Caenorhabditis elegans: one gene and its partners. The protein of the gene in region 2 interacts with the protein of the main gene of each other region in a pairwise test. Each region holds a gene or a part of one and is shown on either strand. Other genes may lie near its edges.

Region 1 (7,646 bases), on a different chromosome or scaffold from region 2:
GGGGCCAGGGAAGAAGATGGGGTGCGTGATTGTGGAAATTAGAGCAAGCAACAAGGTAAACGTAGTTAATTAACACTGCGAATAGTTGTTGAGGACATGTCTGGCGGCGGCGGGGTACGCGTAAAACGAGAACGTGCTAACAATTTCAAAACAAGTGACCATTTTTCGAAAAGCATCCACTTGCAAACCCGGCTTTTGTATACTCGCTTCCCCATCCGCCGCGCTACAGTACAAAACGTTTTGGTGCGCGAAGTCAAGAAGTTGCTGGACACTGCGGTGGCTCTTTAAGTGGCTCAGACGGTTTCCGATGGGGTGTGCTCTGGGAGCCCAAGATGGTGAGGGGGAGAGCCTAGCGCTTGCCCAAACAAAGTCATATCCCCCCTCCTTCCAACCAACTCAAGTGTTGTTTCTGTGCTTTTGGAGATCGTTCGATAGTTGATGAGTCTCTTTTAGGTATTCAATCTTAGTTTGCTCTCAACTCTTTGCCCCTGCTTGTTGATACTTTTTACATTGTAATTAAGTGTCATTTGCAGTGATTGGGCCTGCTGCTTAGTTCTATTTCTGGATTGTGTAATTCTAAGTTTTTGATACAACTACTATGTATACTACTAGATTCCTAAAATTGCAAAAGGCTCTGTAAAATAATTGTAATGGTTTTTGCATTATTACGTACAACTGTTCTAAATTAATAAGTTATTTTTATAAGGTTTTGTGTTTGAAAACGTAAGGTACTTAGTGAAGTTTTATTAGTACAGGAAAAATAGTCAGAATTTTTTAATAAATTTTCTAGCTCGATCTACATAATTAGTATTCAAAACCTTGATTCGAAAATAATTGTCTCACTGTTAGTCAACAAATCATCACGGACTATTTGTCTTCAATTATCTTGTTCATATCCCTTCTTCTCGCCATAACCGGAAATGCCTCGAAACAAATACATGTGTCCCTTCACTCTTAATACACCCTATATTCCGGTCGTCCACGCACCTTTTTTTCCTCAGCAGTCCATCAAGTGTCCCTCCGTCCTTTTCTGTCATTTGCTGCACAATTCTATTCTTTCCAAAAACTCTTTTTGTAAGACCTGGGGTTATGTGTGCACTGTTATCAATACCATGCTCTTTTCCATGACCTTACGACCCCGCGCGCGCGCAATCGTTTTGTTTTGTCTATATGCGTGTTTTTTATTGACTGACTGACCACTACATATTTGCGGCATATTCAAAAAAAAGGTGTTTAGAGATAGACAATTAGGCGACGAGATGTATCATGCACACATACATTTTTATCTTCTCTAGCGTATTTTTGCGCCGTATTTTTTTTCTGATGCAAAGTCCCCAGATAATACCATAAGTAGAACGCGATCCGAGAAGCTAGCCACAGGGGTGATTTTTTTTCGTTGCTAATTTTTTTTTGCTTTTCAAAATTGTTGTTTTCCGTAAGTACAATTTTAGCATTTTTTTTAGGAACGACAAAAAATCGTCAGATCAATTTGTAATTTGAAATTTGAATCCAAATAATCTCTTGGTTTTAAAAATTTAGCATTTCAACAAATATCAACACAAAAACTAAGTTTAATTATTCAATGTTTATCAACTGAATTTTTATTAAATTGAAAAAAAAGTTGTTTTTAAAAGTTGTTTTTTAAAAATTTATTTCATCATGTTACCGTGAATTGAAAATTTGAACTTTTCAGTTATTTGAGAAGATTCCCTATTTTGAAAATGTTGGCAACATATTTTTGAGCGTAAAATGTTCACAATGAACTGTAATTTTTTGATTAATCAAAAATATATATCAGAATCAATTTTAAGGTTTGTGACCTCCAACATTTCCAAAAAACATAACTGATAGCATAACAAGTAAGTTCAAAAACTTTGCGTCTCTTGAGTATTATTGGGAGGTAGTTTGAAATTCCCCAACTATCTTTGAAACATTTGAGAATTTCACTTTTTAAAATTATGTAATTGATTCACTTGTTGGTATTTTTCCATGAAATTCCGACAGTTTGCCATTTCCAAATGCGCGGTCATTTGTCAACTGTGCTCCGCCTTGGCCTTCATTTCTACTCAATTTTCTCAGCAAAGTTTGTCCCGTCTAAACGGAACTACTAAACTTTTTTGCTTTTGCCGTTTTTATTTCGGAAATTTTTATTTGAATTTTCATCCAAATATTTTCTAAAAACGTATTTCGATATCGGTAACCCCAGCAAATCTCATTTTTCCGCATAACAGGACAAACACACTGTCCTTTTCGCTTCACTTTTTTGCTATCCCCTTCTTTTTTCCGTGTGCGTGCCGGGTGAAACTAGTCTCATCATTTGAAAATTGTCTGTATAATATCCGACCTACTACACATAAAATATATAGATGTTGGAGATGTTGACAGCCGGAAATTGTTTGGAACTAATTAGCTGCTGAGGGTTTTTTGCTGTAATTCAAGTGGACCCAGCACTTTTTGAGTATTTTGAATTTGTACTTACGCATAATTAAGCTTGTTCATTCTTATTTCTTTTAAATAAAAAAACTCCTGAAATCACAATAAAACAATATTGTCGCTTGTTATGGGATAAAACCCCATATTTCAGCTAATTTTATTAACACATACAAGTACATTAGGAACTAGATGATAATAAAAAAAAGTAGGAAATATTTTATCAGACGACAATTAAAAGTAAAATCAAAAGCATGAGCTGCCAAACTGAAACGAGCACAAAAAAAATGTCGAAATTGTACAAATACTCTCGAAAACCTTTTTTTTTAACTAAACGCTGAATTTCTATGTTTTCACTTTTTATAAACGTTTGAAAATTTTGTATATCTTCAATCACTCGGTCAACTGAAACTTTCCCTACTATTTCCAAATTACCGTCGAAATGCCACAGGGCAGCTAGCTGACCCCTGGCAACCACGAGATTCCCCCCCCCCCCCCCTTCATCTCTCTTGCCCGTGTTTCCTCTTCCGTTCTAATTACCTGCTTATTATCCGACAATACACCTGGCTCTCTAGGACCTTCTCTTTCTCTCTCGCGTCACTCCGGCAGCTAGCGTGTGCGGTACAGAAGAACAATCGTCAAGCGGCAAACTACCTTTTTTACCTCCAAACACAAAACAATTCGACTAGCTGCCGTCATTACTCCTATTTGGGATCTGCATTCAATGATCTACCACTCATGAAATATCAACATTTTCTCATATTTTGTACCCTGGTTACAAATGGTAAGTCTACTACTAAGATATGATGTCATTCGGTTTCACAGACTGATTGATCTGAGTGTGAAAAGTTTTGGTTTAGACTAGATGAGAGATAGAAATGTATAACACGAAGTTTAAGTGAACATCTCAAAAACTGAAAATCTAATTTAAATTCAAAATATGTTTGAGAAAGTTGATTTTGGGCTTTTAAGTGTTGAGCATTGTTGTATCTGAAAACTCTCAATTTTTGCAGCCCATCTCTTCTTTGATTTTGTAATCGTTTATATATTTTCAACTAAAATTGTAAACAAATAACTATTAACATATTTGTCGGTTAACAATTATTTCAGAAGCCCAGACCTTTTCAATAAAACACATGACTTCTTTCTCTGAAAATTAAATGAAGCTCGTATATTTCATACCAAAAAACAAAATAAATTTCTAAATTTTGTTTTCCAAAGATCAGTTCCAATCTAAAACTTGGACAAAACTACCAACTGACTTTTTGCAAAAAGTAATCCATCATTATCATTAAGACAGATGAATACCACAAGCTGTCACTAAAACTCTTTTCAGCACTATGTAACAGAGCGTGCAGTCGGAACACATGTCTTAACGGCGGAACTTGCACAGTGAACGATGAGACGCGAATGTTTCAGTGTGAATGTCCGAAGGGTTTCAGTGGGTTGCTATGTCAGGACAACTGCTCTTTGCACTGTCTCCACGGTAACTGCGTGAAAGGAACGTTTGGCGAAGAAACTTGCCAGTGCTCCGAAGGATGGATGGGCTCACTTTGTGATAATCTAGTTACTGATGATGACACTGCTCAAAAGTGCTCACCGCAATGTGGCGATGACGAAAGGTATACATGACCTTGTGCAAACCAAAAACATGTATGTTTTTTATAGATGCACAAAAGGAGCCGACGGATCATACATTTGCCAGAGCAACGAGCCGTCTTGCGCAACACACACTTGTCAGAATAACGGCACTTGTGTTGCCGAGAACGTGAGTGACTTGAGTCCAGAGTGATAAAAACCAATAGAATGTTCAGGGAAATGTAAAATGTGCCTGCCCACCTGGATTTGTTGGAGATCACTGTGAAACTGACGAGGACGAGTGCAAAGAAAATTTTTGTCAGAATGGAGCAGATTGTGAAAATTTGAAAGGAAGTTATGAATGCAAATGTTTAAAAGGATTTTCTGGTGAGTTTTGGTTTGAAAATTTGGATGGGAAGGATGAAATATAGTTTTCCAGTAGACATAATTGTGAAAAAAAAACCTGAAGTTTGAAAAACGTTTAGTTAGATTTTTTCAATAAGACTAGTGTGAATTTGATCAAAAATCATTTATAAGGTGCTAAATGACCAAATGTCATAAAAAATTTTCTAAACAATTCGGGGATTTTTTATCTCGAGTCAAAAATCGCATACATGTTTTTGCCACGTTTCGACAAATCTGAAGCATTGTCATGTTGATCCCTTTTGGCTCGAAATAAAATCATTTCTTCAGGTTGTTCAAAAAGTTTTATTATGATATTTGGACAAATACCCAGTTTTTTTGCAATACTTATAGTTTTCAACTTTCTTATTATTTTCTCAATTTTGTTAACGTTGCTGATTTGTTGAGAGTTTACATTCGAATAAATTATTTTATAAAAACAAAAGAAAACTAAGAAGAAACATGTTTTCACAATTTCTTCTAGGTAAATACTGTGAAATCCAAGACAAGAAACAATGCACTTCTGATTATTGTCACAACAATGGTCAATGCATTTCGACTGGCTCCGATCTCTCCTGCAAGTGCTCTCCCGGGTTTGATGGTGCATTCTGCGAGCTCAAAGCAGAGGTAACACCAATTTTCTCACTGTTAATTGCTTGTGTTTTTTCTCAGGTTAACGAGTGTATATGTGAAAACCCGGCTCATGTTTGTTCACTCGTAAACGGGACGTCAAGGACAACGCAATGCGAGTGTCCTTCGGGGTTTATGGTACGTTTGACGAATAATCTGGGCATGTTCGGATATGGGTCCCTCGCGCAATCTATCGTTTAATTGCAGGGTGCCGACTGTAAAGAGTTGCAAGCTCGTCCATGCGATCGTGAGCCGTGTCTTAATGGGGGTCACTGCGTCGACGACGGGCAGAATCTCTTCACCTGCTTTTGCCTTCCCTCTTTTACCGGCATCTATTGTGGAGAGCCTGTTGATTGTCTGGTTAATGGATCGGATTGTAAGAATGGGGGAAAGTGTGTGTTCGCGTTAGCCGCAACTACCTGCCAGTGTCCGGAAGGATTCAATGGGTCCAATTGTGAAATAAGTAATTCATATCGGTCACATCCAACATGCAGTGACATTCGATGTTTGAATGGTGGAAGCTGTAAACTCGACGCAGAAGGGGAACCGTTTTGTGTATGTGAAGAAGGGTTTGATGGACCGTTCTGTGAGCCAAAATCTGGATGCACAATTAATCCCTGTCAAAATGGAGGAACTTGCCAAGATGCAGGTAATAAGAAAAAGAATAGAGTTTTTTAGGGAGCTGTAAATTAATTTTTGTGCTGATACTGATACTCTTTAAAGTTTTACAATTTTTCAGATGGACAATACTTCTGTCATTGCACATCAGGCTTTGGTGGCGTCCACTGCGAAACGGTGGATGAGCCTTCAACCCCTATTCCCACATTAGGAACGTTTCCATCTTTTACAACTTCTGGAATCGACGGATTCTCTCAGAGTGTGAGTGTTTTAGTTTTTTATTCAAAATTCGTTCATAATAAATACTTGCAATATTAAAATTTTTCAGAAAATATCTTGCGAAGACTGCGTCAACTCATCCAATTGTCTTGACGTCGAATCTGGGCCAGTTTGCATTTGTGATGATGGATATTTTGGACAAAAATGTGATCAGAAACATGATGTAGGTTTTTTTTAAATGAAAAACAGTGTAGAAGAATGCTGAAGTTTTACGAAATTTAATTGTGTCTTTTGAATTCAAAAAACTAAAACTAAAATTATATTTTTAGTCTTTTCTATGTTTTGTAACATAAAGAAATTAGTCCCTGATTTTGTTCTACATTAAATTTGAGACAGTAAGTTCAAACAGTTTTCCAGAATTGTTGGTATTATATATGTACTTTAAGAAAATTTTAAAAAGTAAAAAATGTAGACAAATCATTCCATTCTTATTTTCAGAAATGCTCTAAAGTATCCTGTCCATCTGGTCAAACTTGTAGCCAAGTGAATGATAACGTGAATATCACTGCACAATGTGGATGTGAAATAGGCCACTTTGGACAACAGTGTGAAATGGTGACGTCAGCAACATTTTCGGCGAAAAGTTTGTATATTCATCAGAGCTCCAAATTCTCCCTTGGGTACTTTCTTTTTCTCTAACTATATATTTTATGAAAAAAGCATTTCAGAACTTCTTCATTCGAAAATATTGCCTATGAACTAGAGTTTTCGTTCCGCACAACTGTGGAAAATACCCATTTGGCGAGCAGCGAGAACATTCTCGGAGAGAAGATTTTGTCTATTCAACTTTTGTCGGGATACTTGGTGTTCAACATGACCGGAAATTCGTTGGAGCACCTGCTGCCAATGAGAGTTAGCGATGCTCAATGGTATACAGTGTTTGTAAAGGGAGAGGATAATGTAAGTTTAAATTTTTTTTAACTTGAGTATATATTTTTAATTTATTACAGAAAATCCAAATCGAAGTCTCCACTGAAAATGGGTTCAGTCTAGTTCAAAAGTCAGTCAACGGACAGCTTGAAGTGTTCCTCACCAGATTTGGAAAGGTATTAGCGTATGAAATACACTCTTTACTCAATAAACTGATTTACAGATCTCTGGAACTCATCACTTTATAGGATGCATGGCTGATGTTCGAGTGGACGGGGATCTCATAATTTTTGCAGATAACAAACGAGCAATTGATATTAGAAAAGGGTGCACTAGAAGTGAACAGTGCACCAGAGCATACTGTCAGAATGAAGGTTAATTTTTTCTGAATGATGAAGTTACAAAAATAAAGCTTCAGGAATTTGCATTGACCATTGGGAGAGCTCAAGTTGCAAATGTAAACCTCCATACCTGAAACCAAATTGTGTATATTTCCTCCCCAAAACGACCTTTGGACATTTGGACCAGCCCTCAATTGTGCATTTGAGGTAATTTGTCAATAATGTGGAATTTTTTTTTTGCAATTTGTGCTAATTGAGCAAAACCTAGAAATTTGGAATCCAAAGCACTAATACTAAATAAACACAATAATTGGACTATTTAGCACAAGCGAATCGGAAAACCACCTGCTCCGTAATCACATCGAGTTGAGCTTCTTAATGCATTCCGGCAAACCGGATGCCGTTCTGTTCTATATTGGCGAGAAGCACGCCGCAGATGTTCTGACTAATTATCTCGTCGTCAAGATTGCTGGCGGTCTTATTACAGGTGAGTCGAAT
Region 2 (7,653 bases):
GGACGGATGGGTGAAACTGAATCAGAATTGTGTTCTGTTCTTCTTTTCTCTCTTTTTCCCTTTCTTTTTTCTTATCAGATTACATATCAATTATGAATTTATCGGTTCTGTCATTATGCGATTTGGTAGGTTCTTCTAGGGATCAACTGAAATTAAAATTGGAGTTTAAAGGCAATTGTGCATTCATCTTTATTCCCAGATCGACCCAGTGTTTTATTGTTAACTTTAGTATTTTTATATTTGTATTTCCCATTCACCGGAATTATACTAACATGTAAATTCCTAATGAGTAAGTAATATACCTGTTATCTTTGTTCGGATCTTTATGTTAACGCCCAATTTTTTAATATGCTTGGCCTACTAGGAATGTATATCATTTTCTTCCAAATTTGGTTCCAATAGTTTTCTTTTTTTCTGTTGTAAAAATTTTTGTTAGAATCAGAATAAATTTCTAACATTTATTTTCGGAGGTACATGATTTTTTGGTCAAGCAGTGAAAAAGTGCAAACTGAACAATTACATATATTCTATCAGTATATCTTCATTTTTGATCACCATTCTGAGCAAATTTATAACACTTTGTAACATTGAATGCGTGCGAAACTTCTGAGCTACTGTACCCAAGAGTTTATATGATTCATTTACTTGCTTATAATTAATCAAAATTTAGAACAACTAAAGAATTTTACAACAATGAGACAAATATAAGAAACTTGTAAAACATGTGTTGATATATTTAAATGGTAAGGTCCAAGGGTGTGCGGCAAATTTGCCGAATTAGCCGGCCACGGCAAATTTGAAAAATGTGGACTTGCCGAATTTGCCGAGCTCGGCCAATTTCGAAATTCGCCGCACATCCCTAGTTTGCTCATGAAAGGGCAATGCGGTGATTTAGAGTTAAAATTGAAATTTTCTGGGAGCAGGTAATAAGATAATGTTTTTAGGTATGAACATTTTAAGCAAGAAATATATTAAAGTAACTTTAATCAAGAATTTGATATGCTTGCAAATTCCCTAGAAATAAAAAAAGGTTCACACGCTTTGTATGTTCTAGGAACAGTTATATTTCAGTGAGCTTTTATTCAAATGGATCATGAGATATAGCTGTTAATTTCTAGATCTCACAGGATCTTCTAACATCCACCTAGAACATCGACGATCACACTTCTGAACTTGTGTAAACTTCCTCTCTTTCTCCACCCTTACCATCAATTTCTGCAATATCTCAATTTCCTTCTATAATCAATCAAAGTTGCGTATACACACCCATCTCCGTGCCACGCCTTTACCTTTCCCATGGCATCGAAGGGTATTCACAATACCTCGGACAGCGTCCAGATGTACACGCAATTAAACATAGAGAGAAACACAGAGACACCTTCTGGTGTATTCCATTCTTTCATAATGCTTCTGGCATTGCCACGCGTACGGGGGGCGCAAACTTGAAAGATCCCCCACCTTCTCCCCCCGTCGGACACCATTCATTCCGTTTAGCCAATCAACCGGCCGATTATGTTGTTGCCTTTCGATTTCACGTCTTCTTTTTTCCCTCTTTTCTTCTTTTCGTTCGAAGTTGGCGTCGTTGAATTTCCTTCTTTCTGTATCTGGTTAACCGGTGTTCATGTCAGTGTTACGCAATCCATTCCCTTTTCCTCCTCCCTCTAGTGATAAGACTTGATATGATGGGACACTTCTACAGCTTGTTAGCTTGATGATGACAAAGTGAAAGGTACTGGATGAGGTTAAGGAAGTGACTCTGATAAGGGATACGGTAGCGTGGCTGATAGCGTAAGTTTAAGGATATCTTGAGCTTATTCTATTTGAACTACGTATATGCATATGACCTTACTGTTGTTTTTTGCTGACTGAAATACTATAAAGTAGAGCTTAAAATTGCAGTTTCCTTTCCTTCCAGCTTTAGATCTAACTTTGAGAGCTTTATGGTCTTTTCGCCTACACTGGAACTCTTTCTGGACCATGAGCAGATGAATGACAAGGTCTATACAGAGCCTTTTTTTAAATATACTTTTCCTATTAGACTTGCATCCCCTAGCTCCACTGAATGATTTTATCTCGGAAAAAAAAATTAAAAACAAGTGTCAAATGTTGAGCTATACTTCTGTAGTTGAGCGCCACAAGTCTAATAAAAAATACGGTAACTCAATCTTACTAAACTCCAATGGAGCAGCAGAGCATTTCATAGCAGTGAATGATTCCAAATCCAAAGTTATAGTTCCAAATATATTTAAAAAATCGATATTTGAAGAAATTCTGCAACTTACAGTCTGACGTTCATGTTCAAGCTTTATCGAAAGTCTAAGCCTATTATTGATAATTATTCATGCATGAAAATGTTCTCCCCGGCTTTTTCTCGATTTGTCATATTTCTTTTCCGCATTTCTTCACTTATTGTTTCTATCCCCTGCCATTTCATTTTCTCAAAACCAGCCTATCACAATCAAAGACTGTTGAGGAGAAAGACACTCCTATCGGTCAGGTTCGCATATCTTCTCCTCTGCGTCTCTTCATCTTGTATACTATTTCTTCCATCCAAATGCCTATTGGTTTCTTCTTGGGGCCCTCGTTTTCTCTCATTGCCAGCCACACCTTCCAGATATATGTTTGTTTCACGTCTTCTTCAACTTTTCTTCTTTTTTTTGTAAAATCTGTTGCTCTCTCTCTCTCTCTCTCTCTCACATCTCTTTGTATTTTGTTGATTGCCAATGATCAGAAAAAAGATTCGACGAAATCAAAGTTTTCTTGATTTTCCCTTTTCTAATTTTCAATTCTTATTTAGCCTCGAATTTAATTATTTTAAGGGTCACGATCTCGATGAGGTGGGTGCCGTTAGTGCTCCTGCCGTTGATCGCCTCGGCGGCAACAACCTATCAACATCGGCAGACCTATTGTAAGTTTTTAAAGCGGGTGCAACTTTCTACTTATTGAATTATTTTGTTAAATGCATAATGTTGAAAAAATTATCAGTTTGAACCGCTTCTATGGTGGCTCTTGCCTGCCTACGCGCCTACCTATCGCGTCCCGTTACCATTTTTGCAGACAGGCAGGTATTTTGTGCTTGGTCTCACTTCACTTTTTCCTTTTGAGCCTAGTGAAAACCTGAACTTGAAAAATATCTTTACATTTATAGATTGACCCCATTAAATTACAGTAACCTCGTTAGTTCCCATTACTTTTGCCCTCATTAGTATCTAATCAAACTTTGGCAAAACCAAATGTGTCACTTTGTTTTGTTATTTCAATTTCTGATTGGTTGGGATCGATGTTAGTGTAATATTTCATTTGCCCTTCCCTTCTTTTTCTCTCTCATTCCCATATCTCTAAACCGTTAGCTTCCCTTTCTTTGGCATTTTCATTATCATTACCAGTCCTCTTCGCAGTCTCATCCCACGCGCTCCCATGTGGAAATAGCTTGAAAAGTTTGGAGACCCTGAGAAAATGGTTAAGGGCGTGGCAGTTTTGGCACACCCAGATGTGACCTTGTGTGAACACGTATACATAAATGGCATTCTGATAGAAAGGAAGAAGAAGAAGAGAGGAGATCAAGACGTTTTTAGGGAGTGAAAAATAGAAAAATAATATATGATTCATCACTTTTTAATTTAATGAATTTAATGATTGTTGTGAAATGGGGAATTCAAAAATTTGGCAAATTCGGACTTTAATCGACTGTTTTTCAGCTAGTCTGCAATGCCGAGTAAACGACCCACTATCATGTAATCAAGCAAAAAGCGAGGTAAGCAAAAAACGAGATTCTACAAAAATAGCAAAGATCAACAACATCTTAAAATGTTTAGTCTGAAAATGAAAACTCAAAGTGAATTTTATAGAGGTGTTCAGATCGGATTTTTAGAGGATACCACGATGAAAAATTTTGCATATTATCTAGGAATACATTTTCTAGTTCTTAATTTTATAAATTGTTGTTGTTTTTTCTGGCTATGAAATATGTGATAAACCTTTAGGTTTGCGTATTTGTGAACGGGCAATACCGATGTGAATGTCCCGTTGGAGTATCCCGTCTCGCCGACGGTCGCTGCCTCGTCGTCAACGAATGTGCTCGTCCATCACTAAACGCTTGTCACAAGGATGCTCAATGTGTTGATCTCGCAGAAGGATACACGTGTCGTTGTAATTCTGGATTCGCTGACACATCACCAGATAAGGTTAACAAACCAGGACGTCAGTGTCAGAAGACAACGAATGAGTGCGGAGCTAAACAGACTTATGGTGTTGATTGTGATGAAAATGCAGCTTGCGTGGATACTCCAGAAGGTTTCCAATGCGTTTGCCAACCGGGATATGCTGATGTTTCCACTTCGATCTCTAAACTTCCTGGAAGAAAATGTGTTGAATCGGTCAATGAGTGTACTAACGGAGAGGCTGATTGCTCTAACAACGCTGACTGTTTTGATCGTGCTGATGGGTACGAATGCAAATGTCGCCCAGGATTTGTCGATGCTTCACCAAACGTTGACAAGTATCCAGGACGTGTTTGTAATAAGCCAAAAGCACCGGAATACTATGGACAACAAAGTCGTCAACCACAGTGCTCTGAGGGTTCCGGATGTGGACCAAATGAAGAGTGCAGATTCAATACTGCCGGAGAAAAAGTTTGCCAGTGTAGACGTGGAAGTGTTCAACAATCGAACGGAGTCTGCAAGGTTTTCAGTCAATGTGAACAAGCTAATGAATGTGACAGAAATGCATTCTGCTCTAACACTTACGATGGTCCAAAATGCCAATGTAAAGATGGATTCCTTGATGTCTCACCCGATCCAGTTAGACTCCCAGGAAGAAAATGTCAACAAGTTCGTAATGAATGTGCCGATGGATCCCATGACTGCTCTCATCAAGCTGCTTGTCAAGACACCCCAACTGGATACATCTGTTCTTGCAATTCCAACTGTATTGATGTCTCTTCTCGTTACAACTTGCCACCTGGAAGAAAGTGTAGCGTTGGTAAGTGTGTTTGGTGAACTATGACTATTTTGAGAAAAAAAAAACAGAAAACAGTTCTATTTGAAAATGTTCTTATTAAAAATATGATATCCAATTTAGAAATGCATCGAGATCCTGGTGAGTTGCATGAAATTCAATCAAAGCTAATTTATCAGTTGCAACGTAGAGAAATGCATGTTATAGCTTTTTTGGCCGAATGAACTTATATAACTAAAGTCTTGTTGGCATTTGGAAAATTTTCATCTGTGTACAAAACAAGGAAAATGAAATTTTTTGTTTAAAAAATATTTTTCACAACCAATAAAAAGTTCGCAACAACTTATAGCGACATACTCAATATTTGGCACGTCACAATATTCCTTTATTTCTACAATTTCAGCTGCCAATCAATGTTCTGACAAATCTCTCAACTCTTGCGATGAAAATGCTGATTGCGTTCAACTTCCGGATGGATACACATGCAAGTGCTTCGCAGGATACGTTGATGTCTCCTCAAATGCCAATCTTCCACCAGGCCGTGTCTGCACTCTTTCCACTGCTTGCCCAGCTCAACCAACTGATTTGGTCTTCTTGATTGATGGATCTGGATCAATTGGATCATATGTTTTCCAGACTGAAGTTTTGCGCTTTTTGGCCGAGTTCACCGAGTTGTTCGATATTGCACCCCAGAAGACACGTGTGTCAGTTGTTCAATATTCTGATCAAATCCGTCATGAGTTCGGATTGGATAACTATTCTGATCGTAAATCTCTTCAAAATGCTATCAGAAATATTGAATACTTGACTGGGCTCACTAGAACCGGAGCAGCCATCGAGCACGTTGCAAATGAAGCATTCAGTGAGAGACGTGGAGCAAGACCAGTCGGACAAGTCTCACGTGTAGCTATTGTTATTACTGATGGAAGATCTCAGGTGAGAATAGTTGAAACGTACCATTTTTAACAGTTGCAGGAAGCTCAACAGATGTACTTATGGTACTTTTAAAAAAATTAAAAAAATTAATTTAGGACAATGTCACTCGACCATCTGACAATGCTCGTCGACAAGATATCCAACTCTTCGCCGTTGGAGTAACCAACCACGTACTTGACGCAGAACTTGAAGAAATCTCTGGTTCCAAGGACCGAACATTCCATGTTTCTGGCTTCGAAGATCTTAACACTCGTCTACGTTCAGCCATCCAACGTGTCGCTTGCCCACATCAGAACAATGAGGATACTTATAACAAGGGACCATGTGATCCAAGCAATCATAATGGATGTGATAGATCATTGAATCAAGTATGCCAACAGAAGAATGGAAAGTTTGTGTGCGCGTGCCCAGCTGGTTTTGATATCCATCCAGTCACCAAGGTTTGCGGTGGAGATATTTGCAATCCGGAGATCGCCACGTCTTGCCCTGATCCAGAAATTTGTGAGAAAACTCCTTTCGGAAACTGGAGATGTACTTGTCCAGCAGATTTGGGATGGAGAGATCGGCTTACTGGAGTTTGCAGTAAGTTTATGACATCTTGAATTCTCTTAAAATAATTCATATTTTCAGAAATTGGTGAGAAGCCTGTACAAACTTCTGAATCAAATGATGAATGCTCACCAAACGACGTTCACAGTTGCCCAGCAAACTCGAAATGTGAAAAGGGAGCTGGAGGAGAATTCATCTGCAAATGCGACGCTGGTTTCCAACGCAACGGGCGTACAAACAAGTGTGAAGCTCCAGGAACTTGTGATCCAAGAATGCCAGACTCGTGTGATGCCAGAAAGAAAGAGAAGTGCCTTCCAGATGGACGTGGAGCATTTGCATGCATGTGTGATAGACATCATAAGAGACATCCAGTGACTGATATCTGCTGTAAGTTCAGGAAATATATGTTGTGTGAAGATTTAAAAAATTGTCTTCAAATTTAAAATATTGAATACTATGTATAACACAATTGAGAACAATTTAATTTGCAGTAATTGACGAGTGTGCTGCTGGAGTTGCTGATTGTGATCCAAATGCCAAATGTACAGATACTGATGAATCATACATCTGTACCTGCAATGAAGGGTTCCTTGACAAATCACCTGAACAGAACAAGAAACCAGGAAGAGTTTGCTCCAAACGTTCGTTCTGAATCTGAGCAACCATTTCATATAATTTCATTTTTCAGAACGCAATGAATGTTTGGATGGAACTCACAATTGCTCGATGAATGCTGATTGTATAGATCTTCCAGATGGCTTCTTGTGTAGATGCAAAGAAGATTTTGTGGACATCTCACCAAATCCAAATGCATTCGGAGGAATTGACTGTAGAGCTCTTGTCAATGAGTGTCTTATTACAGGAGGACATAACTGTCATGAACACGCCATATGCATTGGTTAGTTCAATTTTTAATAGAAATTCATTTAAATTTTTGTTTTTTAGATACTCGTGACTCTTATAAATGCCAATGCAAAGAGGGGTATGTTGATCATGATGAGCTTAGAAATCCAGGAAGAACATGCAAGAAATGTGAGTTGGGAATTCTTAAACCACAATTGACATTTTTTATTTTTCAGTGAATCAAATCTGTGAATCTGGAAAACACGAGTGTGACAAAAACGCTCGCTGCGTCGAGAAAGGAGCCAATGATTACGAGTGTGTATGCAATGCTGGATTCATTGATAAGAGTCCACTTACCCATCGCCCTGG
Region 3 (9,537 bases), 5.5 Mb from region 2:
TTCTATTTTCCTTCAATTGACATTTACTGATAAGAAACTTATGAAAAGCGGAATACATGAACGATTTTTGATGAAATCATGCTGAGTCAGAAGTTCAAGTGACATGTGTTTTTTTCTATTTGTTTGTTTTAATAACTTACTCGTTGTGCATTTGAACTTGATGTTCTCACCGGAACAGGCGACACGTGACCTTACAGCAACTGATAATATACCGTATTTTACCCGTAGCTCATATCTTGGCGGTTCTAGGAATTATCAAATATTTTCTGTAAGAGAAGGTTCCTGATGCTCTCGAAACTACAGTAGTCGATAGTATACCATACTTCCTCGAATAGTAGTGCAACCCATAAATTCATCTTGGCGGTCCTAGGAATGATCAAAAATTGCCAAGTTTTTATTATTAATTTTTGTTTAGTAAAAAGTTTTAATTGGTTGAGATATCAGTAAAGTTTATTAGACTCAAAATTGTCAGAAAACACCGAATTTGATAATGAAACTTTTTGAAAAATGCTGAAAAAAGTTTTAAAAAAAGTTATGGCGGCTCAAAAAATGACCTCAAATTAGTTGAATTTTGAAATTTGACCAACTTGTCTATGTCGCAAGTTACCAAATCTGGTGATCCTTCGACCTTAATTGTACTCAAGTTGAGTTGAAAAAGAAAAATAATTGATTTCCATACCTAAAATTAGACGGTGATTTCAAAAAAAAATAGTTTCCAGCCGCTTGACAAGTCTGTCAAATTTCAAATTTTAACCTATTTTAAGTCATTTTTTGAGCCGCCATAACCTTTTTTTTGAGAAGTTTTAAAGAAGTTTAATTATGAAATTTCGTGTTTTCAAACAATATAGAGTCTAATAAAGCAATTTTTAAAAAATTGACTAAAGCACCTTTAAGTGCGAGACTAATATAGAAAATACGACATGGTCGCTGTGGCTAAAAGTAGATCTTTTTGCACAGGTTACGTTACTAAGCGCTCTTACAGTAACCTTTCACTAATCCTATAAGTTTTGTGAGTGAACTCGCTGACCTTGGCAAGATTTTTAAATTTTGAAGCTCTTTGAGCCATCATAAGGAGTCAAAATTTGCCCAGCTCGGCAAACTCCAAAAAAAAATTTTAAAAAGTTTTAATGATATTTCTAGGAGCTCCAAAATTACTAAATTCTTAGCACAAGTTTAATTTTTGAATACCTCAATTTTATGTTTTTTTACTATAATTTTTTGAACAAAATCAATAGTTTCGGTCAATTTTTTAAAATCCAATTTGAGGTGTTTGCGGCAAATTCGCCACAATTGCCGCACACTCCTAATAAGGTCATTTCTAATTGCAGTACTTCTCCGGAATACATTTCACGAAACTGTATCACAAACTAGAATGACGTCTCCCCCTTATCACACTTTCACTCCTCCTCCTCCTCCGTCGACATGTATATAAATTTTATGAAAAAGCCCCGACATTTAATCACGAAAATGCTGACACTTTTTTAAGACACCTATACTGATAAAGAGTTCGGTTCACATTACGTCCTTTTCACTTTACTTGATCTCTCTTTTTTTTTGTCTCAACTCTATCATTTTTCCAACAAAAAAAAACTAGTTTCTCATATGTGTGGGAGGTGTGTAAATCATCTCGGCCTCCTTTTTTTCTTTCTTTTTTTGTCTTTTTTCGAAACAATTTCCGTTTCACATTTTCTGCACTTTTATTGCTTTCTTCAGTTCTCTAGAAAATATTTTTAAATTACCTAATATTTTTCCACGTGATATTGTTGCTACTTATGTTATCACATGAGCCTTTTAAAGGGCATCTAATAATATTTTTTTTATATATAAATTGTATTAAAATCAGAGATCAAGCGATCAGAAGATGATTTTTTTAAAGGATTCTTATTTTTTTCCTAAGAATCTTGTAGATCACAATTTTTGAACACAAATTAATTTGAAGCTTAAGCCTAAGCCTAGGCCTACGCCTAAGCCTAAGCATTAGCCTCATCTTAAGCCTAAGTAAAATGTTTTTGTAAAAATTCTGATGAGTTCTAAAAAATCACTAATTATTTTGTTGACTCCTTCTTTCCCCAACTAGTTTGAAAAAGTTCAATTCAAGCCCTGAAAATTTGTACCTTTTTTTTTGTAGTTCCTCCCTAGTTTCCACAACTTTTCTGGGAGTTTGTCGAAAAAATAATAATGTAGCCAAAAAGTAGAGAATACCGGAAATTCGACCCCAAAAAATTCAAATTTTCAACAACTTTTTTCTGAGATTTTTGAAGGATTTTTGATGGATGAAAACACAAAATACTTGATCTTTACATTTTCTCAACTTATTTTTTGAAGTTCAAGACATAGAATTTGTGTCTTTTTGAATTCAGAAGACCATTTAGAGGCAGTCTTATGTCCATCTCTCGCCTACATAAACGGCACATCAAACGATCTTGACCAAAGTTTTGTTTCACCTTTTTATTTTCTAGAAGTCTGCCAAAGTCTGTAAATTAAAATTAATTAAATTCCCAGTAGCTTAACAATAATTTTTACACTTTCGCCTCGTTTACAGGGAGGTAGATCAAAATCGTTTTTTTTTTCCTTCACTTTTCACTTGCAAGTCTCTCGTTTTTGCTAGATAGATAGATGCTTGATGGCAGGAAATACAATCTGGTTCTTCTTCTGCTTTTCCTTCATTGACTATCTATAATCTCTCTCCTCGTGTTTCTTATTATGCGCTTGTGAATTTTTTTTGAATGCCTCACATTTTCAGTCTTGCAATTCTTATTGCTTTGCAGAAAGCAATAAGAATTTTTTTTGAAGTTTTTTTTTCTGTTGAAAAGTTTCCAATTTTTTGTAAGAATTTGTTTGCTTTTTTGCTTTTTTGAACTTTTGGCATGAATTTTTTGGTTTTTCATATAACTTTTTCCTGGAATTTTTTTCCAAAAAACTTAAAAATTTGTGCAAAGCGGAGTTTTCAAGCTAATTTCTTTTTATCTTGTTAAAACTGATTTTTTTTTGAAAATTTTATGTCAAAATTTTTTTCATAAAAGTTGTAGAAGCTTAAAATTAAATGTTTACCTAATTTAAGAACCACTTGAGGTTTTTTTCAGAAATTGTATTTTTGAAAAATAAAATATAAAATTTTTCGATTTTTTGAAAATTTTCTAAACTTTTTTAAGGCAAAAAATATTTTTTTTTCTATTCTTTTTAATCTAAAAATTGCCGGATTTTTTTTGAATTAAACGATGAAATTTGAAGAAAAAAAATCTGGCATTTAAGTCGGTATTTTTTGAAAAATAACTGAAAATTAAAAAAAAATTTTTTGGAAAAAAATCCAAAAAAATACAGATTTTGAAAATATTCACGAAATTTCACTGGCTTTGAAACTTTAAAAAATGCACTGAAAACCTTCGAATTTTTCAATTCAAAGTACTAACTTTTTCATAAGAATCTAATTTTAGAAAAAAATGTATTTCTATTGAAATACGTCCAAAAGTAAGCTGGCTCGCGGAGCTCTTGGAGCTTCATATCCAAAAAAAAAACAAATTCCTGCATGACTCGAAAGATCTTTGATTTTTAAAAATTTGCATAAAAAAATCTTGCGACCTTCCTTCCCACTCAATTTTTTTCCTTTTTTTCCTATCAGCCAGAACGTTTTCCCATATTCAATTTTGTTCTCCATTTCCTTTTCCTATTCTCCTGTTTATTGTGTTCCTTATTCTCTTTTTTCACCCCATTTTTGTCTTGTTTATTTGTTTGTCAAAACGCATTCCACCGCTCCCCAGTCTTTGTGTTGTTCTTTGAAAGGGGACAACAAAAAAAATCGCGGAACTAAGTAACTAAGTTTTTCATTTTGAAATTTCGCTGCTCTTGTCAGAGTGTCCCACGTCGTTTTGATCTACGAAAATCTACAAAAATTGCGGGAATTTTTGGTAGATCAAACCTTGATGGGACAGCCTGACACACATACACGTGCCGTACTCATTTCTCTTAATTCCCGTTAAATATATTTTTTGAAATCTCTAGAACTATGACAATCTCAATGATATCTCCGTCATCAATCCGCCTATCCAGTGACAAACGTGACTCTTCCTCATCCAACCTGCCCGCCAACATCGAAGAGGACACCCAGTCGGTGTCCTCTTCGGATTCTGGAGTATCTGCCGACTCTATTGACCACCATCATCACGGTCATGGGCATGGGCACTCTCATGGGGGTCATGGGCACTCACACACACACAATAATGATGATTCCTCTTCGGATTGTAGTGGAGCAGGAGGAGGAGCGCATAAGCATAGTCATGATGAGAAATATCAAAAGGTACATAGCAAATTTTTTTGCAACATGGCTCAACTTTTACCTCTATTAAAATGACCATTATATTAAAACTAAATTTTTCAAAAAATGTTGCTTTTAATTTTAATTATTGCTATCTATGTAAAAAGCCCAAAATCGACCATTTTAGCATAAAAATGTGTTTTTTTTAAAATCAAGCCAAAACACGAGCTCGCAATTATACATATCAGAGGAAATTTTCAACTCCGGCAATTTGCCGATTTGCCGGAAATTTTCAATTCCGGTAATTTGACGATTTGTCGGAAATTTCCAATTCCGGCAATTCGCCGATTTGCCGGCAATTTTCAATTCCGGCAATTTGTCGATTTGCCGATTTGCCGGCAATTTGTCGATTTGCCAGAAATGTTCAATTTCGGCAATTTGTCGATTTGCCGGAAATTTTCAATTCCGGCAATTTGTCGATTTGCCGGAAATTTCAATTCCGGCAATTTGTCGATTTGCCGATTTGCCAAAAATTTTCAATTCCGGCAATTTGGCGATTTGCCGGAAAAAATCGTTTGCCGCCCACAAATATCTAGCAATACGACGACTTCCTGTGAATTGAATATTTCATCCTAAAATGTTGAAAAATATTGGAAAAGTGTCGAAAATTTCAATAACTGATTTTTTTTCCAAATTTAAATTAGTTTCCCTGAAAATGTTCTTGAAAAATTGCAATTTTATTTGAAATATATAAAAATCAAGGCATTTTTCAGTTAGCGGGACGTTTTTTTGACAAAAATGCGAAAAAAAAACGCAAAAAATATGACAAGAATTTATACATTTGAATATTTTTCTGAAAAAATCAAAACATTATTTGACGCGCAAAATATTTCGACGCGAAAACTACAGTAATTCTTTGAATGACTACTGTAGTGTCGATTTACGCGGCTCTATGTTCATAGATTTATCGATATAATATCAAAATTAAGCAAAGAATGAAAACAAAGATAATACGAAAAAGCAAAGAAAAACTGCGCTAAAGTAGTAATTTATTGAATTACTGAATTACTACGAGATATTTTGCGCGTCAGATATGTTGTGCAATACGCAGTCTCACGTGATGTCAGAATGTCTCATTTCGGCTTTATCTACGTAGATCTACAAAAAATGCGGGAGAAGAGACGCAGAGTTCGTGCTGACGTCACATTTTTTGGGCAAAATATTCCCGCATTTTTTGTAGATCAAACCGTAATGGGACAGACAGCCTGGCACCACATGCATTCTCAGAATTCAGTGTTACCGCACAATTTTAGTAGTAATTTTTTTAAAAACACAGTGTATAACTTTAAAAAAAAACATTTTTTCGCCAAAAAAAAAATGGACATAAAATTTTTTGTTTGGATTTTCCAACTAATATTTCTCGTTTCCAGGGTCGCCGAGCAGAAAAAGTGCTATGGGCAGTTGCAGCACTATCCGCAGTCTTCATCGCCGCCGAGTTCGTCGGTGGATTCTGGGCTCAATCGCTAGCAATTATGACAGACGCCGGACACATGCTCAGTGATCTTCTCTCATTCATCATCTCAATTTTTGCGATTCGTTGTGCACGTCTTCCCGCATCGAAGCGTCTTTCATTCGGTTACGAGCGAGCCGAAGTTCTTGGTGCTCTGACGTCTGTGATCATTCTCTGGGTGCTCACGACAGTGCTCGTCGTCGTCGCTATTCAGCGAATTGTGAACAATGAGCATGAGGTGGATGCTGATGTGATGCTCATCACCGCGGGCGTCGGAGTCCTTTTTAATATCGTTATGGGATTGGTGTTGCACTTCGGAACTGGAGGTCATGGGCACACTCATGGAGGACACTCAAGTCATGGACATGCTCATGATGGAAAGAATGTGAATGTTAGAGCTGCTCTGATTCATGTCATTGGAGATTTGGTGCAATCCATTGGAGTCCTGATTGCTGCCCTTATCATTAGGTTTACCGGATGGACACTTGCCGATCCGATTTGCACATTCCTTTTCTCGATTATCGTGCTCTTCACGACGGTTACAGTTATGCGGGACATCTTTTTCGTTTTGATGGAAGCCACACCGAGCCACTATGACTTGAGTGATGTGAAGAAGGCGTTGAGTGCGTTGGAAGGTGTAAAAGGTGTTCATGATTTGCATTTATGGTCTATTGGAATGGATAAGACTGCGTTTTCGGTGCATTTGGCACTTGGTGAGTGGCTTCTCATTTTGGAGTTTTGAGTAAAACTGAGAAAATTTTGGCGGAAAATTGAAATTTTTCAATAAAGATTTTGGCGGGAATTCAAATTTTTCAATAGTTATTTTGGCGGGAATTCAAATTTACTTTTAAAAATGTTTGCCGGGAATTTCAAATTTTTAAAAAATAATTTTGGCGGGGAATTCAAATTTTTCCATTGAAGTTTCTACCGGGAAATTCAAATAATTTAAATATATATTGTGGATATAAATGCAAATTTATTCAATCAATTTTTGGCCGGAAATTCAAAATTTTAAATGAAAATTTTGAAGGGAAATTCAATTTAGAGCAAAAATTGGATTTTAAAAATTTCAAATTTTCTCTGAAAAACTTTGAATGAAATTTAAATTTTCTGAATAATTTTTGGCGGGAAATTCAAAGTTTTGATATAAAGATTTTGGAGGAAATTTAAATCTTCTGAGAATAATTTTTAACGGGAAATTCGAACATTTTTTATAGGAATTTTGGCGGGAAATTCAAAATTTTAAACTGTTAGTTTTGGCGGCAAATTCAAACTTTGGCTATAAAATTTTTGGCGGGAATTCAAACAATTTTCTTTCGAAAAATTTGCCGGGAAATCGAGTTTTCCTTTAAAAATTTTTTGGCAGGAAATTCAAATTGTCTCTCTGTTGCACGTGGGGTCAGAATGTCTTATTTCGATTTGATCTTCAAAAAATGCGGGAGTTGAGACGCATACATCTCATCTGACTTCGCATGGTTAAGAGCGTGCTGACAATTTTTCTGTAAAAATATTCCCGCATTTGTAGTAGATCAAGCCGCAATGAGACAGCCTGACACCACGTGCTATTGAAGTTTTGAAGATAAATTCAAAATTTTCAATAACAGTTTTGGCGAGAAATTCAAATTTTTTAAATGAAACTTTTGAAAAAAAATTCAGATGTGCTCTAAAAAAATTGGCAAAAAAATTCAATTTTTTCCAATGATTTTTGGTGGGAAATTCAAATTTTTAAATGAGAATTTTGAAGGGAAATTCAAATTTTTTGAGAAACAATTTTGGCGGGAAATTCAAAGTTTTCTGGAAATTTCCTGGAATGTTCTGCAAGGGAAAAGTGCTGCCTTTCATGATATTGAATTTTAATATTTAATAAAAATATATTTTTCTAACTCTTCCAATATTCCAGAATCTCCTAACCGCGCCATGGAAAATGTTGCCGAAGCCCGTTCCCTGATCCGCCGGCGATTCGGAGTTGCCGTCGCCACTGTCCAAGTGGAGCCGTTCGACGAGAAAATCGATTCCTGTGACACGTGTCAACAACAGGAAACTGCTTGATTCCAGTCCTCCATCGTTCTTCTAATCTATTACGATACGGGCAAACTTCTACGTTTTTTTTTTCCAATCAATTTCATTTTTTTCAAAACGTTTACTTTTCTCGACTTTTCCTGTCAGTTTTTTGACCTACTCACACGGGTTGTATTCATTTGGCACATCCAGAGATGCCTACTAATGTTCATATTTTTCCTTACTGTCCAATCCTGTCAAATCGATAATAAATGGCTTTAATTTTTTTTTTTTGAAATTTTTGAAAGAAAATCGAAATATTAAAAAATCAATAATTTATTCAAAATCAATATTTCTGAAAAATCGATAATTAATAGAAAGTCAGTAATATTCGAAAAATCAATATTCTAAAAATCGATCATTTTTTTGAAAATTGATATTTTCAAAAAATCGATAGTTTATAGAAAATCAATAATTAAAAAATCGATTGTTTATAAAAAAATCTCTATTTTTGAAACATTGTTAATTTGCTACGAATCAGTTTTTTAATTGATAAATCTTATAAAACCAGTATTTTTAAAAATTGATAATTTTAGAAAATCAATATTTAAAAAAAAATCGATAATCTATGAAAAATCAATATTTAAAAAATCAAAAATTCATTATGGCTCAATGTTTGAAAATCGATCATTTTTTTTCAATATTTAAAAAATAATCGATAATCTATGAAAAATCAATAATTTAAAATAAATCGATAATTGTATTCCTGAAAAATCGAACACTGAAAGAAAATCAATATTATTTTTTGTTGAAAAATCAATAGTTTTTATTGAAAATCTATATTTTGAAGAACAACACAAAATCGAACGAAAAATCCAATATCTTTATTCATTTTCCACCCAAACTGTTTTATTTAAAGCGGGAAAATACTGAAGTAAACGAGAACGAATAAAACCAGACAAATCGTCCAAATTCCGAGCATTGTCCAGTAGACGATTTTCGCGTTTTTCTGGAAATATTTGAAGATTTCTTGGGAGGAATATTTTGCACAATAGTGGGGAGAAAATCGATAAATTAAAAATGTATATATCGATAATCTATGGAAAATCAATAATTTTAATAAAATCGATAGTTTATAGAAAATCAATATTTAGAAAAAAATCGATAATCTATAGAAAATCGATATTTTGTAAAAAAAATCAATATTTTAAAAATCGATAATCTATAGAAAATCAATGTTTGAAAAATCGATAATTTATTGAAAATCACTAATAAAAAAAATCGATAATTTATAAAAAACAATATTTTGTAAAAAAAATCGATAATCTATAAAAAATCTATATTTTGCGAACAATCGAACTTTTATAAAAAATCGGTATTTAAAAAATCGATAATCTATAGAAAATCGATATTTTGTGAAAAAATCGATAATTCATAGAAAATCAATATTTTTAAAAATCGATAACGTAAAAACTCACAAGCTTGTTCTTCAACTTTTTGATCTTCGCCTTATTGACTCTCGGCTTAATGGACGAAGGATCCGACTCGGGCAACTCCTGAACCCCATCACCAACCACATCACCACTTGCCACCTTCTTATCCGATACGAGCCCACCGGCGGCTCCGTGAGCATCTGGCGGTGGCGGTGGCGGTGTTCCTCCGACTGTCGGCGCATTTGGATTCAGATTGTCGTAGGGCATCGCGGCGAGATTGTGGTACTCGTCATCGGGTTTTTTCTGATCATTCGCGACGGGAGCAGTTGGATCGAAAAATGCAT

The links.
Region 1: the proteins of mup-4 (region 2) and crb-1 interact in a two-hybrid assay, tested with the Caenorhabditis elegans proteins (one large-scale study listed by BioGRID).
Region 3: the proteins of mup-4 (region 2) and ttm-1 interact in a two-hybrid assay, tested with the Caenorhabditis elegans proteins (one large-scale study listed by BioGRID).

Annotation. Positions count from the first base shown.
Region 1 is NC_003284.9:17,409,372-17,417,017, reverse strand, and holds the start of crb-1 (uncharacterized protein), read left to right. Parts: upstream 1-3,003; 5' UTR 3,004-3,168; coding exon 3,169-3,214; exon of another isoform or gene 3,215-3,326; intron 3,327-3,766; coding exon 3,767-4,052; intron 4,053-4,098; coding exon 4,099-4,198; intron 4,199-4,244; coding exon 4,245-4,395; intron 4,396-4,894; coding exon 4,895-5,037; intron 5,038-5,082; coding exon 5,083-5,178; intron 5,179-5,247; coding exon 5,248-5,689; intron 5,690-5,779; coding exon 5,780-5,919; intron 5,920-5,986; coding exon 5,987-6,100; intron 6,101-6,375; coding exon 6,376-6,557; intron 6,558-6,605; coding exon 6,606-6,837; intron 6,838-6,887; coding exon 6,888-6,983; intron 6,984-7,030; coding exon 7,031-7,181; intron 7,182-7,225; coding exon 7,226-7,355; intron 7,356-7,471; coding exon 7,472-7,635; intron 7,636-7,646.
Region 2 is NC_003281.10:7,484,242-7,491,894, reverse strand, and holds the start of mup-4 (Transmembrane matrix receptor MUP-4), read left to right. Parts: upstream 1-2,789; 5' UTR 2,790-2,832; coding exon 2,833-2,908; intron 2,909-3,698; coding exon 3,699-3,754; intron 3,755-3,983; coding exon 3,984-4,980; intron 4,981-5,359; coding exon 5,360-5,892; intron 5,893-5,987; coding exon 5,988-6,474; intron 6,475-6,522; coding exon 6,523-6,828; intron 6,829-6,932; coding exon 6,933-7,082; intron 7,083-7,129; coding exon 7,130-7,339; intron 7,340-7,386; coding exon 7,387-7,473; intron 7,474-7,520; coding exon 7,521-7,653. UniProt on the Caenorhabditis elegans protein: Required for junctional attachments between hypodermis and muscle, and between the apical epithelial surface and the cuticular matrix.
Region 3 is NC_003281.10:12,951,479-12,961,015, reverse strand, and holds ttm-1 (Zinc transporter ttm-1), read left to right. Parts: upstream 1-3,844; 5' UTR 3,845-4,003; coding exon 4,004-4,294; intron 4,295-5,682; coding exon 5,683-6,475; intron 6,476-7,662; coding exon 7,663-7,811; 3' UTR 7,812-8,047; downstream 8,048-9,537. Other genes in the region: Y39E4A.1 (uncharacterized protein), read right to left, coding at 8,674-8,769, 9,239-9,537. UniProt on the Caenorhabditis elegans protein: Promotes excretion of zinc from intestinal cells into the intestinal lumen in response to increased dietary zinc. Involved in cadmium resistance, possibly by promoting its transport from cells.